2 linked regions of the Anolis sagrei genome follow. The protein of the gene in region 1 purifies or fractionates together with the protein of each later gene. This does not show direct contact. Links are inferred from orthologs where the notes say so. Each region holds a gene or a part of one and is shown on either strand. Other genes may lie near its edges. The genes, in order: NRBP1 and TSC22D1.

The links.
Region 2: the proteins of NRBP1 (region 1) and TSC22D1 purify together in Homo sapiens (affinity purification with mass spectrometry; 6 studies listed by BioGRID and IntAct, with this or other methods). This does not show direct contact. The link is inferred for Anolis sagrei from reciprocal best matches to the Homo sapiens genes NRBP1 and TSC22D1.

The regions. Positions count from the first base shown.
Region 1 is NC_090021.1:1,051,453-1,060,706, reverse strand, and holds the start of NRBP1 (nuclear receptor-binding protein), read right to left. Parts: upstream 3,651-9,254; 5' UTR 3,321-3,650; intron 3,227-3,320; exon of another isoform or gene 3,149-3,226; 5' UTR 3,141-3,148; coding exon 2,841-3,140; intron 1-2,840. UniProt on the Homo sapiens protein: Required for embryonic development. Plays a role in intestinal epithelial cell fate and proliferation, thereby involved in the architectural development of the intestine potentially via the regulation of Wnt-responsive genes.
Region 2 is NC_090023.1:144,370,451-144,379,556, reverse strand, and holds the start of TSC22D1 (TSC22 domain family protein 1), read right to left. Parts: upstream 4,063-9,106; 5' UTR 3,145-4,062; coding exon 320-3,144; intron 1-319. UniProt on the Homo sapiens protein: Transcriptional repressor. Acts on the C-type natriuretic peptide (CNP) promoter. Acts to promote CASP3-mediated apoptosis.

The sequences.
Region 1 (9,254 bases):
TGCTCTGCCTCACGCACAGAGGAAGGGCAAACTTAAACCTGACATACAAGCAGGTTGTTAGGAATTGTGGGAGTTAAACTCCAAACCATCTGGAGGGCTGAAGTTTGCCCATGCCTGCCCTTAAAGCTACATTTTTAGTCTAAGATTATTTAGCTGCTTGTACTCCTATTTTATCAGTTTTATACCTGATAAGTATAAATTACTGTTTTAACTGATATGTTATAGCAGGGGTCCTCAAACTAAGGCCCGGGGTCCGGATGCGGCCCTCCAAGGTCATTTACCCAGCCCTCAGGGTCAACCTAAGTCTGGAATGACTTGAAAGCACACAACAACAACAACAAGAACAACAATTCTATCTCATCAGCCAAAAGCAGGTCCACACTTCCCATTGAAATACTAATAAATTTCTATTTGTTAAAATTGTTCTTCATTTTAATTATTGTATTGCATTTAAGTGTTTTTTGCACTACAAATAAAATATGTGCAGTGTGCATAGGAATTCATTCATGTTTTTTTTTCCAAATTATAATCTGGCCCTCCAGCAGTTTGAAGGACTGTGACCTGGCCCTCTGTTTAAAATGTTTGTGGACCCCTGTGTTATAGTAATATGATTTATTTATTTATGCTATATGTTCCAGGCATCGAATTATGCCTTTGTTGTGCTCCACCCTGAGCCTCCGCCAGGGTGAGAAGGGAGGGGTATGACTAAATTAAATAAATAAACAATGCCTGTTTATGTATGCAATGCTTCTTTGGACACAACGTAAATAAATAAACAAAGTACACAGTGCTCATATAGACAGGCATGGGCAAGCTTCAGCCCTCCCTCCAGGTGTTTTGGACTTCAACTCCCACAATTCCTAACAGCCTTAGGCCCTTTCCTTTTGAGATATGGGGCTGTAAAGGATGGGGCATGAGGCTGTTAGGAATTGTGGGAGTTGAAGTCCAAACACATGGAGGGAGGGCTAAAGTTTGCCCATGCCTGGTTTAAAGCTACTGACAATGTGGTCACTACCTCTGAGGATGCTTGCCATAGATGCAGGCGAAACATCAAGAGAAAATGCCTCTAGAACATGGCCATATAGCCCAGAAAACCTACAACAACCCAATGTGGTCACTGTTGTCCATTTTTGGTCTAAAACGAATTAGCTGCTGTTGCCCCCTCTATTTTCTCACTTTCACACTTATGTATTCAATGCTTCCTTTGACATAAAGTAAATAAATAAATAATATACACAGTGCCCATATAGACCAGGCCTGGACAAACTTGGACCCTCCCTTGAGGTGTTTTGGACTTCAACTCCCACCATTCCTAACAGCTTCTGGTCTTTTCCGTTTGAGATATGGAGCTGTAAAGGAAGGGGCCTAAGGCTTTTGGGAATTGTGGGAGTTGGAGTCCAAATCAACAACAACAACACTTTATTTATATTCCATCCTCTCTCCAGGGGGACTCAGGGCAGATCACAGGACACATACATGAGAAACATTCCATGCCATTTGGCCAGACAAGGACAGAAGACTTCCAGCTTTTCGGCGCCTTGGAGGTGGTGCTCATATCCAGCCACAGGGGGGTGCTGTTACTCCATCCTCTATGTTAAAATTGTCCATTTCAATTGTTCTTTTGTTTTTAAGTGTTTTTTGCACTACAAATACGATATGTGCAGTGTGCATAGGAATTCATTCAATTTTTTTTCCAAATACTAACCCGGCCCTCCAAGAGTTTGAGGGACTGTGACCTGGCCCTCCGTTTAAAAAGTTCGAGGACCCCTGTTTTACAGTGTTGTATAATACCTCCCCCGGTTTTTAACCTGTTTTTGAACTGCTTAGGTCAACAGTGAGCTGGGCTGACAGTCGGGGGCTCACACTGACCCGGGCTTCAAACTGGCAATCTTTCAGAGGGAAGGCCCAAGTTTGCCCATGCCTGTTCTACTCTCTTCCCATTCTATGACTGAGCTCTCAAATCTGTATCCCCAAGCGACCAACCCCTGCTTGCCCCTTCTTTCCTCCCTCCCTTGAAGGTTTTGGCACTGCTTAGGTCAACAGTGAGCTGGGCTGACAGTGGGGGGCTCACGCCGACCTGGGCTTCGAACTGGCAACCTTTCGGAGGGAAGACCCAAGTTTGCCCATGCCTGCTCTAATCTCTTCCCATTCTATGATAATAATAATAATAATAATAATAATACAGATCCGTATCCCCAAGTGGCCAACCCCTGCTTGCCCCTTCCTCCCTTCCTTTAGGGTTTTGGCACTGCTTAGGTCAACAGTGAGCTGGGCTGAGAGTCGGGGGCTCACACCGACTCGGGCTTCGAACTGGCAACCTTTCAAAGGGAGGGCCCAAGTTTGCCCATGCCTGCTCTAATCTCTTCCCATTCTAGGATTGAGCTTTCGAATCCGTATCCCCAAGCGATGAACCCCTTCTTTCCTCCCTCCCTTGAGGGTTTTGGCACTGCTTAGGTCAAGAGTGATCTGGGCTGAGAATGGGGGGCTCACACCGATCCTGGGCTTCGAACTGGCAACCTATTTATTGTGTCATCAGCAACCATACCATAATAATAATAATACGGATCCGTATCCCCAAGCGACCAACCCCTTCTTTCCTCCCTCCCTTTAGGGTTTTTGCACTGCTTAGGTCAACAGTGAGCTGGGCTGACAGTTGGAGGCTCACACCGACCCTGGGCTTCGAACTGGCAACCTATTTATCGTGACATCAGCAACCATACCATAATAATAATAATAATAAAGATCCGTATCCCCAAGCGACCAAACCCAGCTTGCCCCTTCTTTCCCCCCTCCCTTTTGCTTAGGTCAAGAGTGATCCGGGCTGGCAGTGGGGGGCTGACCTCCTCTCGGCGCTTCTGCCACCGTCCGCAGGGCGACTCCTCCAGGATCTCGGACTCGTCCTCGCTCTCCTCCTCCTCTTCCTCTTCCTCCTCCTCCTCCTCGGGCTCCTCCTCGCCGGACTTGGCCTTGGCGGGCGCCGGGGGCGAGGAGGCCGAGGAGGCCGCAGAGGCAGGGGCGCAGGCCGGAGGGGCCTCGGCCTTGGGCTCCGCGCCGCCCGAGTTGGGGCCTCCTCCTCCTCCGCTACTATTCCCGCTTCCTCCTCCTCCGCCTCCTCCTCCTCTGGCCTCTCCGTCAGACATTACAGAGACTGAGACACACAGAGACAGAGAGAGAGAGAACCCGGTGAGAAGAGAGAGAAGGAAGGATGAAGAGGGCGGCGGCGCGCTGTGACGTCATACCTCCGCGCCGCCACGCCCCCTCGCAGGAAGGGGAGGAGCCCCGCCGCTGCCCCGTTACCATAGCAACGTCGTGAGGCCTACCTTGGCAACCCCTCCCGCGCTGGAGTAGAAACAGCCCCGACGACTCCTCTCGCTCTCCTAGACGCGGGCTTCACTACTCCCTCGCTTCCTCACTCTTGCCGGTTCCGCAGCAGCGCCCGGAGCGCCAAGCGGCAGCCGCCTCCGCCTTCTCCTCAGGCACAGTCACACTGGAGAGGCGGCGGCACAACCCGGCGCTCCTCCACCAATGAGCGCTCGGGATAGGCGCTGCCCGATCTCGGATTGGACAACGGCTTGCCTGTCTTGAAGGGCGAGCCAATGAGAAAAAGGGGGCGGGACACTGAGGACCAAGCGGCAGCCGCCACCTTATTCTCCTCACGCGCAGCTAGACTGCAAGAGGAGGGACGGAGCGATGCTTGACCAATGAGCGCTTAGGATACGCGCTCCCCGATCTCGGATTGGACAACGGCTTGCCTGTCTTGAACGGCGAGCCAATGAGAAAAAGGGGGCGGGACACTCAGGACCAAGCGGCAGCCGCCACCTCCTCCTCACGCGCAGCAAGACTGTAGGAGGCGGGACGGAGCGATGATCGACCAATGAGCACTCAGGATACGCGCTGCCCGCTCTCCGATTGGAGCCCGGCTTGCCTGTCTTTAAAGGAGAGCCAATGAGAAAAAGGGGGCGGGACACTGAGGATCAAGCGGCAGCCGCCACCTCCTTCTCCTCACGCGCAGCAAGACTGTAGGAGGCGGGACGGAGCGATGATCGACCAATGAGCACTCAGGATGCGCGCTGCCCGCTCTCCGATTGGAGCCCGGCTTGCCTGTCTTTAACGGAGAGCCAATGAGAAAAGGTGGGCGGGACACTGAGGGGAGTGACGACTATGGGCCCTTGGACTGCAGGAGGAGGGACGGAGCGATGCTCGACCAATGAGCGCTAAGGATACCCGCTGTCCGCTCTCGGATTGGAGCCTCGCAATGCCTGTCTTCAACGGCGAGCCAATGAGCAAAAGGGGAGGGTTGACATAGATGGAAGGCGGGACGGAGCGATACTGAACCAGTGAGCACTCAGGATACGCGCTGCCCACTCTCGGATTGGAGACCGGCAATGCCTGTCTTCAACGGCGAGCCAATGAGCAAAAGGGGAGGGTTGACGCAGATGGAAGGCGGGACGGAGCGATACTGGACCAATGAACACTCAGGATACGCGCTGCCCCCTCTCCGATTGGAGGCTGGCAATGCCTGTCTTCAACGCCGAGCCAATGAGAAAAAGGGGGCGGGACACTGAAGGGGATGACTAAGATGGGCCAAGTGACAGTCGTCGCCTCTTTCTCCTCACGCGCAGCCAGACTACAGGAGGCGGGACGGAGCGATGCTCGACCAATGAGCGTTCAGGATACGCTCTTCCCGCCTTTGGATTGGATTCCGGCCCGCCTGTCCTCAGCGGCGAGCCAATGGGAAAAAGGAAGGGTGGGGATGACGCAGCTGAGCAGGAATGCGGCGACGGCGGGAGGTGTAGTCCAAAAGGGTCGGGCAAGGCCTTGGCGCATGTCTGTGTCGTTTAGCCACCCCAGGATGGTCTGGTTTCAGACCGGGACATGGTACCGAGACGGTCTTGGTCGCCTTAGTGGATGATCTGCGCCGGGAGCTAGACAGGGGGAGTGTGTCCCTGTTGGTGCTACTCGACCTCTCAGCGGCCTTCGATACCGTCGACCACGGTATTCTTCTGGGACGCCTTGCAGAGATGGGCCTCGGGGGTACTGTTCTGCAGTGGCTCCGGTCATTTCTGGAGGGCCGTACCCAGAAGGTGTTATTGGGGGACTCCTGTTCAACTCCACAGCCTTTGACTTGTGGGGTTCCACAGGGCTCTATACTGTCCCCCATGTTGTTTAATATCTACATGAAGCCGCTGGGGGAGATCATCCGGAGTTTCGGGGTGCGGTGTCACCTGGATGAGGGCGAACAAATTGAAATTGAATCCAGACAAGACAGAGGTACTCCTGGTCAGTCGCAAGGCCGAGCAGGGTATAGGGTTACAGCCTGTGCTGGATGGGGTCGCACTCCCCTTGAAGGCGCAGGTTCGCAGCTTGGGTGTGACCCTGGACTCATCGTTGAGCCTGGATCCCCAGGTTTCAGCGGTGACCAGGGGAGCATTTGCACAGCTTAGGCTCGTGCGCCAGCTGCGCCCGTACCTTGGGAAGTCTGACTTGGCCACGGTGGTACACGCTCTGGTCACATCCCGCCTTGACTACTGCAACGCTCTCTACGTGGGGCTGCCCTTGAAGACGGCCCGGAAGCTTCAGCTAGTCCAGCGCACGGCAGCCATGCTACTAACAGGAGCGGGGCGCAGGGAGCATACAACGCCCTTGTTGCTCCAGCTCCACTGGCTGCCGATATGCTACCGGGCCCAATTTAAGGTGCTGGTGTTATCCTACAAAGCCCTAAACGGTTCCGGCCCAAAATACCTGTCTGACCGCATCTCGGCCTATGAGCCCACGAGGACCTTGAGATCGTCTGGGGAGGCCCTTCTCTCGATCCCGCCTGCCTCACAGGCACGTCTGGCGGGGACGAGAGAGAGGGCCTTCTCGGTGGTGGCCCCCTGGCTGTGGAACACCCTCCCTGTTGACATCAGGCAGGCGCCCTCCCTTATGTCTTTTCGTAAGAGCCTAAAGACATGGCTATTTGAGAAGGCATTTAACTGAGTATACATCATCTGATAATGACAACTGGAACGGAATATGGATTACGAGTTTGGTTACGATTCTACGAAGACGGAGCGGATCATTTTTAGTGTAATTATAGTAATGTGTAGTGAGATGTTGTTTTTTCGATGTGCTTTACTGTAAACTGTTTTTAATAAGTGTTGTACACCGCCCTGAGTCGCCCTAGGGCTGAGAATGGCGGTTAATAAATGCAGGAAATAAATAAATAAATAAATAAATAAGAATGGGAAAACCGGCCAAGATGGGGCCTAAACCAGGCCTGGGAAGGCCCATGCTGGCTGTTCACATTATCTGCAATGGGTCCACCCCCTGCCTTCAAACTGATTTGACCAGCAGCAGGGAGTTCCACAGTTCCTGGATGTCCAAGTGGGTCAGCATTGCTGGGAATGTGGCCACAGCAGCGGCTTCAACTAGAGACTCTTTTTCTGCTTTGCTTTCTTCCCCTTGCCCTAACATTGTAACAAATCCCCCAATAGAGGATCTTAAACTGCGTTCCTCTGAACCGTGGATATGGAGACCCATTGGGTCCCCGTATCTGTGGGTCAGCGGATTGCTTCCAAACTGGTGCCATTTTTCTCCTAGACTCCAAATTCTTGCTCGATATCAACAGTATCTTGCTCGATATCAACATGGAGAGGGAAAGTTCATACTGGGGAATGTTAGAGGCAGTAAAGACCTCTACTAGGCAAGCCAAAGATCGCTGCCGGCTCGCCCAGGATGCTCTTCCAGCATCCTGGGAAAGCCAAAACTGCCTTCCTCTGAACCGCAGATACGGAGACCCATTGGGTCCCCGTATCTGTGGGTCAACAGATCGCTTCCAAACTGGTGCCATTTTTCTCCTAAACTCCAAATTCTTGCTTGATATCAACAGTATCTTGCTTGATATCAACAGTATCTTGCTCGATATCAACATGGAGAGGGAAAGTTCATACTGGGGAATGTTAAAGGGAGTAAAAGCCTCTACTGGGCGAGCCACAGATTGCTGCCGGCTCATCCAGGATGCTCTTCCAGCATCCCGGGGAAGCCGAAATTGCGTTCCTCTGAACTGCGGATACAGAGACCCATTGGGTCCCCGTATCTGTGGGTCAACGGATTGCTTCCAAACCGGTGCCATTTTTCTCCTAGACTCCAAATTCTTGCTCGATATCAACAGTATCTTGCTCGATATCAACATGGAGAGGGAAAGTTCGTACTGGGGAATGTTAGAGGCAGTAAAGGCCTCTACTGGGCGAGCCACAGATCGCTGCCGGCTCGCCCAGGATGCTCTTCAAGCATTCCGGGGAAGCCGAAACTGCGTACCTGTGAACAACGGATACGGAGAGCCATTGGGTCCCTGTATCTGTGGGTCAATGGATTGCTTCCAAACTGGTGCCATTTTTCTCCTAGACTCCAAATTCTTGCTCGATATCAACATGGAGAGGGAAATTTCATACTGGGAAATGTTAGAGGCAGTAAAAGCCTCTACTGGGCGAGCCACAGATCGCTGCCGGCTCGCCCAGGATGCTCTTCAAGAATTCCGGGGAAGCCGAAACTGCGTACCTGTGAACCACGGATACGGAGAGCCATTGGGTCCCTGTATCTGTGGGTCAATGGATTGCTTCCAAACTGGTGCCATTTTTCTCCTAGACTCCAAATTCTTGTTCGATATCAACATGGAGAGGGAAATTTCATACTGGGAAATGTTAGAGGCAGTAAAAGCCTCTACTGGGTGAGCCACAGATCGCTGCCGCCTCGCCCAGGATGCTCTTCCAGCATCCTGGGAAAGCCGAAACTGCGTTCCTCTGAACTGCGGATACAGAAACCCATTGGGCCTCCGTATCCGCAGGACAACGGATTGCTTCCAAACCGGTGCCATTTTTCTCCTAGACTCCAAATTCTTGCTCAATATCAACATGGAGAGGGAAAGTTCATACTGGGGAATGTTAGAGGCAGTAAAAGCCTCTACTGGGCGAGCCACAGATCGCTGCCGGCTCATCCAGGATGCTCTTTCAGCATCCCGGGGAAGCTGAAATTGCGTTCCTCTGAACCACGGATACAGAAACCCATTGGGCCTCCGTATCCGCAGGACAATGGATTGCTTCCAAACCGGTGCCATTTTTCTCCTAGACTCCAAATTCTTGCTCGATATCAACATGGAGAGGGAAAGTTCATACTGGGGAATGTTAGAGGCAGTAAAAACCTCTACTGGGTGAGCCAAAAATCGCTGCCGGCCCACCCAGGATGCTCTTCCAACATCCTGGGGAAGCCGAAACTGCGTTCCTCTAAACCGCGGATACAGAGACCCATTGGGTCCCCGTATCTGTGGGTCAGCGGATTGCTTCCAAACCGGTGCCATTTTTCTCCTAGACTCCAAATTCTTCCTCGATATCAACAGTATCTTGCTCGATATCAACATGGAGAGGGAAAGTTCGTACTGGGGAATGTTAGAGGCAGTAAAGGCCTCTACTGGGCGAGCCACAGATCGCTGCCGGCTCATCCACTATGCTCTTTCAGCATCCCGGGGAAGCCGAAATTGCGTTCCTCTGAACCACGGATACAGAAACCCATTGGGCCTCCGTATCCGCAGGACAACGGATTGCTTCCAAACCGGTGCCATTTTTCTCCTAGACTCCAAATTCTTGCTTGATATCAACATGGAGAGGGAAAGTTCATACTGGGGAATGTTAGAGGCAGTAAAAACCTCTACTGGGCGAGCCACGGATCGCTGCCGGCTCATCCAGGATGCTCTTCCAGCATCCCGGGGAAGCCGAAACTGCATTCCTCTGAACTGCGGATATGGAGTCCCATTGGGCCCCCGTATCTGCGGTTCAACGGATTGCTTCCAAACCGGTGCCATTTTTCTCCTAGACTCCAAATTCTTGCTCGATATCAACATGGAGAGGGAAAGTTCATACTGGGGAATGTTAGAGGCAGTAAAAGCCTCTACTGGGCGAGCCACGGATCGCTGCCGGCTCATCCAGGATGCTCTTCCAGCATCCTGGGAAAGCCGAAACTACGTTCCTCTGAACTGCGGATACAGAAACCCATTGGGCCTCCATATCCGCGGGACAACTGATTGCTTCCAAGCTGGTGCCATTTTCCTCCTAGACTCCAAATTCTTGCTTGATATCAACAGTAGCCAATCAGAATTCCGGCTCCTGACATGCCCAGCCAATCAGCTGCCAACACATACTTTCCAGTCAACCCATTTATCTCATGGTGCCTTTTACAAATCCTCACAGAAGGGGCCTAAGGTTACCATATTATACAAATCT
Region 2 (9,106 bases), on another chromosome or scaffold:
CAATTAAGATGTGCATTTCCATACCTTAATCAGTGAACACTTCACAAAATGTTTCACACACTGAGAAAAATACATTAACCCTTCAGAGTGATAATTAACTATTCTTTAGGGTTCCGTTACTTTTTCGCTCGCAAGCTTTCCAACAAAATCCTACAGGCACTGAACATTGTGGCATAAAATCCCTTGTCTATTATTAGCTAAAGAAGTTCTTGTTAACACAAGTTACTGATTCTGTAATGATAAAACTATATTTGTTTGACAATGAATCAATAAGAGCAGTTTACAACATATCACTTTTTCCCCTTTGGCCTGATCTTACCTCTCATCCTCACCATCAACCAGCTGCGATGTCAATGGAAGTACCTTCAAGGGGAAAAGAGAGGATGCCATGCTGCTGCCTCCATCTGAAATGGACGAGGATGTACTTCCTCCGCCTTCACCGCTGATAAGTTGGGGTAAGCCAATCAAGGTGGGTTCTGTAGAGCGCCTGGCCTCTTCAGCACGGGACGCAACTGCATGGGCAAGAGACTGTGCAGAAAACTGGGCAGAGTTCAGTGGTATCTGTGCAGACAAATTTGGAGCTATAGGCAAATTGATGCTAGTTGACATTAACGAAGGCTGGGACACATTTTGAACCAAGTTCCCATTCTGCACACCAGAAGACTGTGCTATGTTCTTTGAAGCAGCCAAACTCATCGGAGCAGGGGACACATTGGCAGCAGGGTGGCCTGGGGCAGGGACAGCACTAACAGAAGGTATCGGGCTCACAGGGGGCAGCTGACCAGCAAGTCCTTGAGCAAGAGATTCTGATGCTTGGAGTAGGGTACTCTGTGGTGCAATCACCAATGGCTGAGCAAGGCTTGATGTGCTGCCTTGCTGCCCTGGATGAATCATCCCTGCTGCAACAGGGGGCACGGCTTGAGAAGGTGGAGGAGCAGTACTTTGTGCCATCACTGGAGGGGTAATTTGGTTTGTAACAGGAGGCGGTGGCTGCTGCACCACAGGAGGTACACTTGCTTGTGGACCAACATTCATCATCTGAGCACTAGCTCCAATGGTCTGCATTGTTGTCTGGGCATGGGCAACAGGCTGAGAGGATGCCACTGCCAAGTGTGCTTGTACTGAAGGCTGCACACTTGGGGCCTGAGCAACAGGGACAGGCGTACCTGTTCCCACCACTGGAGGACCAGTCTGCATAGAAGAAGCTGGGGTTTGCACCATCTGTTGTTGTTGTTGCTGCTGCTGCATGTAATCTGGCACAGATCCTGTAACAGAGTTTTGATTCACTGGCTGAATGTGCCCTGGGGCCATCTGCATGGGCATCTGCTGAGGTGGTGGAGGGTGCTGTGCCTGTCCTTGCCCGTACGGCAACTGGTGTGATTGCGGCACAACTGGAACAGCCTGCACAGGTTGGGATGATTGTTGGGTGTATGGCAGCTGCTGTGCCGGTGCCATAGCAGGCTGCGGATGGCCACCAACGATATTCACAGGAGGAGGAACAGCTGAGGGAGTGGGCTGGACCCCTTGCTGTAGCTGAGAATAATTCACATCCTGAGGATGAAGCTGTGCTTGTGCAAGCTGTGACTGGGAAATGCTCTGGGGCATACTGGGAGCTGGCACAGCTTGAGGGCCAGTGGCGCCAAAATCCACTTGCTGAGAAACAGCCCCTTGAAATGCCTGCTGCTGCTGCACCATCACAGTAGGTGCTCCCATCTCTCCGCTTCCCACGCTTTCCGTATAGTGACTCAACGTGCTTACGTTGCTGCTCACTGAGCTCCCACTGGTACTCTCCCTTTCAGAAGTCCCTTCGAGAGGGTTTTGTTTCAGAGTGTCTACGGCTTTGTTGACTGCAGCTACTCCTTCCGCGAGGGAGACAGGGTTCTCTTTGTCATAGAACTCTGTGCATGTCCACCTGCCTTTCTTGAAAGGCTCTGAACTAGAATCCAGTTTCACCACTCTAAACCTCGAGGTGCTGGCTGCGGGCTGCAGGTGACTAGGTGCTGCTCCGGCAACTGGATTGCTAGAGTTACCGGAGGAAGCACTCGTGCCATTGCTGACCCCACTCAGGACAGCCACGTTCACGCTGCTGCTTGCTCCAGGCAGAGGGGTTCCCCCACCTGTACTTGGGATGTTACTGAGATTCTTATGCATATGACCAGGCACGCCGCTCACCATGCTAGGCCCGCCACTGGCCACACCACCAAATGTGCTGGTAGCAGCAGAAGGAACTCCAGCAGCACGGAAATGAGAGACGGTGGTGGCTGCAGGTGTCCCAGTGGATGATGCAGCAGAAATAGGCACAGACGCCACTGTGGCAGAGGCCCCATCAGTGCTCCCAGCTGCAGAGAGCTTCCGAAAGGATGGGCTGGATGGGGCGACTGGGCCAGCTGCCCCAGAATGCGAGGAGTGGTGATGCCCATGATGGTGGTGGTGATGGTGGTGGTGGAAATGGTGTCCGTGAGGCGGGTGAACGCTCCCGTTCATCGCCATGCCCTGCTGCTGGGGTGCATGAGGCAAGGCCGGAGGGGGGTGCTGCTGCTGCTGGGGGAGGCCCGGCTGGTTGGGGGAGACGGCCCCGGGGCTTTCGGCCTCTTGGAAGTTGTTCAGCGTCTCTTCAGAGGAGCTGCGCTCAGGCTCGCCCAGGTCTGTGGCCCGGGACAGGGAGACGTCGAGGATCTCAGAGGAGGAGAGGTCCTCGGTGTGGGACTCATCCAGGTCGTCGTAGCTCTCGGTGTCCTCGGCGATGCTGTTGTTGGAGCTGAGGCTGGCGGAGATCTGGGCCGGGGTCACGCTGGTGATCTGGAAGCCGCTCTTCTTCTTCATCTGGGCCCCGGCCTGCCCCGCCGGAGGGAGAGGCATCGGCACCGGAGGGGCCCCGGGCTGGGAGGGCAGCGACAGGCTCTGCGGTGGCGGAGGGGGCGGGGGCCCCTGCGGCCCAGCAGGGGAGGCAGAGGAGGATGCGGCGGCGGCAGGCGGTGGCTGGAGGAGCAGCGGGGGCGGGAGGTCTTCTAGGGCCGGCCCCACCACGGCGACGCCGCTGCTGCTACTGCTGCCGCTCCCCCTCCGAGGGAGCATCGCCGGGTGCGCCATCTTCCTCCCCCCACTAGGACTGTCTGCCGCTGAGTCAGGCTGGTGGTGGTGCATTGGACGACAAGGGCTATTTTAAGGAGCTCGCTTCCCCAGAATGGCGGGCGGAGGGAGGGAGGGAGGCGCGCGACACGCCACGCACTACTCCCTCTCCCTCGCGCTCTCTCTCTCTCAGGCGCGCGCGCCCAGGCCCCTGCCGCCTCTCAGGCCCCGGCCATGCACTCCCCTCCCCTCCTCCTCTCCCCGCCTAAGGTTCCCGGTTCAGAGCAGCTGGCTCGCCAAGGGGGGGAGGGAAGGAGAGAAGGAGGGAAAGGGGCGAGGAGCCGCCCCGAAGCAGGGAAAGCCCCCGAGCGGAGCCTCCCGGGAAGGGGAGAGGGGGGAGGAGGAGGGGCCCTGGGCGGAAGGTACCTACGGCAGTCCCGCTGGCGCCTCCCCATCAAGAGCAACTCCTCAGCAGCAGCAAGAGGAGCGCGCGGCGCGGGGCATGACTCCCACCGAGGGCGGGGAGGCACGAGGGGAAGAGAGCCTGGCGCAGCCCCACAGCCGCTCCTGCCTCCTCCCTCTCTCTCTCTCTCTCTCTGCGCCGCCGCCTCCTCCTCTTCCTCTCAGCGAGCCTTCTCTCTCTCTCTCTCTCCCTCCTCTCAGCCCCTTCCTCCCTTCGCTCGCGGTTTCCCTGCTCCAGAGTCAGTCAGAAACGGGGGGAGGGAGGCGGAGGCGGCAAAAAAAAATGGCGCTGGCGGCGCAGGCGCAGCGCGGACGCAGACATAAAGGACTCGTCTGGCGCGAGGCAGGCGGCGGGCGAAGAGCTTCGGCTCCAGCGGCGGAAATGCCCGAGGCGGGTGAGGGTGAGGGAGGGGGCGGGGCCTGGCTCGGGTGCTCGTTCGCCAGCGAGGGGCGGGGGAAGAGGGAGCCTGAGGGCGTTGCCCTTTCCTGAAATGGCGGCGGGGCCACACTCCTCGCCGCTTCTGCCAGGGTCACGCGCCTCCAACGAAGCACCGGGCTGAAGCGTTATGTGTGTCCCCCCCTTCCCCTCCGTATCGCGGAAGGGGCGGGCTTTCTTCCTGCTTTGCCGGACACCGGTTGCCATGTGCGCGACGGAACCGGGAGCTGATTGGAGGAGCGCCTGTCAGTCACAGCGGGGGAGGGGGCCGTGAACAACTCCCATATAAGAGGGCCAGAAGGGGCGGGGCTTAGCGGGTCCTGAACGTCACTCACAGACAGCCGTGAGGCGGCGACGGGGGGAGGGGGAGGGGGAGGGAGGGAGCCCCCCTTCTTCCCCCTGAGGACGGGAAGTGCTGCCGCTTTAGCCTCGCCGGGGAGTGCGTAAGGGCGCCTTTCCCCATCCTGGCCCCTCAGAGATGGCACTGAGGACAGAGCAAGGCTTGTTTGGCGACCAGGGAGACAGCCAGGCCTGCGCGCCTCTTCACTTTCGCCGCCTCCTCCTCCTCTTCGGCCCGCAGGCTGGCGCGTGCGATACATGGCAGGCAGGCAGGCAGGCCATCTTGCTTCTCCCTTCCCTCCTGCTAGTGGCTGGTTCTGAAAATACACCGAAAACTTTCAGAATATTCCAGACACCTTCTCGGCCTTGCTTTGCACAAAAGAGTCTAATGGCCCCTTAAACACACATAGATTAATCCCCAGCTCCTTCAAGGTCAATCCAGTCACTTCAAAGATACCGTCCATCCATCTTGCCCTTGTTCGGCCCCTCTTCCTTTTTCCTTCCATTTTCCCCAGCATCATTGTCTTCTTTAAGCTTTCCTTTCTTCTCATGATGTGGCCAAAGGACTTCATCTTCGCCTCTAATATCCTTCCCTCCAGTTGTAATCAGAGGTGATGCCCTCCCCCCCAAGACTCTGTAAAAGATAGTTCAAAACCAGGGAATTCATAGTTTTGCCAAGGACACAAGGCTGGAATGATCCCATAATCCCCTATCGCTCCTCCTGTTTTTATGAATGGACTTTGGCTACTCAGTGCTTTTCTGAATTTTTATGAACTCTCATGAACTTTTTAGGAACTTTTATGGACTTTTTGCCAACTTTCATGAACTTTAATAGACTTCGGGATGACTGAAATTAATTCCCCTTGGACCCTGCATGCCTTCCCCTTCCCCTATGAATTCTGGGTATGCCCCATTCATTGTATGTATGGCTATGTAAGAAATTATGAAGCAAAGTGACCTTTACATGAACTATGCCAGCAACTCATTGCTCTAGGAATCCAAGGGGAATTCATTACAGTCTATTAAAGTTCATGAAAGTTGGCAAAAAGTCCATAAAAGTTCCTAAAAAGTTCATGAGAGTTCATAAAAATTCAGAAAAGCACTGAGTAGCCATTGCTCTAGGTTTTGGTCAAGTCCTTTCTTTGGGGATTATTGGCTCAGGAAGTTTGGAGATTCCTATTATTATTATTATTATTATTATAACTTTATTTGTACCCCGCTAGCATCCCCCGCAGGACTCGATGCGGCTTACATAGGCCTAGGCCTCAAAACACAATACAACAGTACAATACCTAGTGCAAATTAAAACAGTTAAGCAGAAATAAACAACAGCAATAACAATACATCAAAACATCAAGACAATATAAAACTGGGCCAGGCCAGAAAATGGGTACAAGATTAAAAGTGCTGATGTGGCAGGAGGTATGTAGGATTATAAAGTGTGTGCGGTGTGCAGTAATCTTAGTTCTATAAAGTCCTAGAAGCACTTTGCTTTAGAATTTGCTTTAGGTTGTGTATTGTTATGTTGTGTTTTGAGGCCTAGGCCTATGTAAGCCGCATCGAGTCCTGCGGGAGATGCTAGCGGGGTACAAATAAAGTTATAATAATAATAGGAATCTCCAAACTTCCTGAGCCAATAATCCCCAAAGAAAGGACTTGACCAAAACCCATTTGCATGGACAATACAATACGTAAATGGTTCCCTTTTCTGGAACTCAGAGGGCCCGATGGCCAGGCCATCCAGAACAATGGAGTCTATGGATATACTGAATCACTCAACACAAAGGACATCTCCCCATCTGCAAAGAACCAGGGATTGTCGCTGCCTCCCCTGCTGTGTCAAATCCCAATCTCTGAAACCAATCTCAACTTCATCAGTGAAACCAATATTGCAGGACAATAAGACAGTGGACCTGGCCTCTCGGGTCCAGACAGAAATGTTAATTCAAAGATCGGGACAATAACCCTGGCCAGGCTGGACAGCCTAAAGCTATCGCTTGGCAAACACCAGTCATTTGTTATCCAGTCACCTAGTCATTTCTTCATTTTTCCCTGTTGCCCACCTCCCTTCCACCTCATTGGCTGAGCGGCCAAAGCAGGACCAAGGCCCTCATTGGATCTCCTCCTGGCTCGCTGACGTCACAGCCAATCACAACGAAGCTGGCTTGGGATGGGTGCGGTGAAAATTGAATGGAAAACTATATATTCTGTATTTACCTGCCTAGCAAACATGTCAGCTTGTTTGGCAGATTACTGCAGTCATCATCATTTCCAGCTGGAATAGAAAATAAACTTCGGTGGCTTCTCTTCAATTTAGTGAGATTTATTCTAGAATACTGGCTTCTCTTTCTCACCAGGCTAAACCCGCAATGGCTTGGATCTCACTATCCACAACCATTCTAAATTGCTCGACAACACAGTGAGCAGTCGGGCTTTATTTCTGGGTGTATGGAATGGTTTGATCTTCTACAAAGTCACAATTCTGCACTAGTTCAAGAAAGAGAGGTTACTCTAGTTTTAAGTCACCCATTGGTTCAGGTTGGGAATGTATGGGAAGGGACACCTAGAAGAAGCACCCACATTTGCCTTGTATGACTTTCTTTTTGAATACTACCTCATAGTGTGGTGGAAGCTTCTTCCTTGGAGGCTTTTAAACAGGCTGGGTGGTCATCTCTCAGGAGTGCTTTGATTGTGATTTTCCTGCATGGCAGAAGGTTGAACTATATGGCTGATGTGGTCTCTTTCAACGCTATGATTCTATTTATATTTTCAGAAGCAGTACGATTATAATGTATTTAAAAGACACAAAGTTAAAAACTTCGCATTATGATAGATTTCCTTTAACCAATAGCTGGCCACTTGGTGTTTCTATAAGAAGGTCCTCAATTGTGCATGTGGCAGGACTCAGATTGCATGGTAGTAGGTGGTCTGCTCTTCTCCACACTTGCATATCATGGACTCCACTTTGTAGCCCTATTTCTTAGGCTTGGCTCTGTATCTCATGGTGCCAAGGCGCAGTCTGTCCAGAACCTTCCAAGTCACCCAGTCTTCTGTCTGCCCAGGAGGAAATTTCTCATCCTGTATCACCCACTGGTTGAAGTTCTGAGTTTTATGTCGATCTCAGAAAGCTATTCCTTGATTTAAGGCGTTGGCTTGCTGGCTGATATCTGAACAGGGGATGGTCCAGAGATGTCCATGCTTGGTCCTTTCATTGCTGGCTGCTACTTCCCAGCAGATGTCAAGTGGTGCAATACTGGCTAAACAATATAACTTCTCCAGTGATGTAGGGCGTAGACATCCTGTGATAATGTGGCATGTCTCATTAAGAGCCATATCCACTGTTTTAACGTGATGAGATGTGTTCCACACTGGGCATGCATACTCAGCAGCAGAGTAGGAAAGTGCAACGGCAGATGTCTTCACTGTATCTGGTTGTGATCCCCAGGTTGTGCCAGTCAGCTTTCATATTATATTATTTCTAGCACCCACTTTTTGCTTGATATTCAAGCAGTGCTTCTCATAAGTCAGAGTATGGTCCAGAGCAACTCCCAGGTATTTGGGTGTGCTGCAGTGCTCTAATGGGATTCCTTCCCAGGTTATCCTCAGATCTCGAGGTGCTTGTCTGTTCTTAAGATGAAAGCACACATCTGCATTTTAGATGGATTAGGAATCAGCTGTTTTTTCCCGTAATAGGCAGTAAGAGCACATAGAGCTTTGGAGAGCTTCCGTTCAACCATTTCAAAGCTCCCTGCTTGAGCGGTGGTGGCACGATTGTCAGCATAGATTAAACTCTGTGTCCCTTGTAGCAATGGCTGGTCATTTGTGTAAATGCTGAGCATTGATGGAACAAGCACACTCCCCTGAGGCAGGCCGTTCTTCTGTTTTCACCATCTGCTTCTATGATTCTACAACATCCCCAAATCACAACATGGATTCACCCATTATTGTGGCCACAGTGCTAGCACTTTATTGCATCAGTGTCAACCCAGGTCTGAAGCAGTTTTAGGATCCTATTCACCAGTTTGCCATGAATTACAACATATGGCCAAACATTGGAGGTAAACCTGAAATGCCATGTTTCTTTCTGAGGCAGCCAGAATTAGACAATTCCTTATTTTAGACACAGGCTGAAACATACCAGCACTTTTTATAGTCTTTTACCTGTGTTTTTAGCCAACATGTATTTTAAGCAGTTTTTATTGTTTGCATCCAACTGGATGTTCTTAATCCCATTAACTGTATAACTTGTATGCTACCGTATAATAAGGGTCTTTGGACCATAATAAAAATGTATGTATGGTATTACATGATCAGTAGCACAATCAAAGCATAGTAGTATGCTTTGATTGTGCTTTGCTTGCATGGCCCATGCACTAGATGGCCCACGTGGTCTCTTCCAACTCTATTATTCAATGTCAACCCAAAAGACACCTTTTATTTCATTAGTCAACCCATTTGCCAAATTATCATTTATTTTACAAAACAAGAGTTTAGCTCAGGCCTGCACAAGATGCTCTCTCCAACCCCAAGAGGCTTAGCCTATCTAATGTTGGCCTTTTCCTACTTACAAGTTGTCCCCCTTGAAATAAAGAGGATGCCCTTCCCCAGCCCTTGGGAAAAATGCATAATACAAAGATAAAAGAGACCAGGTGACTTTCTTTTCCACTGTGATATGGTCAACTGCCAAAGTTTGTCTACTTAACCTGGGGTGAATTGCAAAATAGATGAAGAGCATGTTTAAATTATCATGCAGCTTTTACTGCTTGGCCCATGCATGCTTAAGGTCAGCTGCCTTGTTCG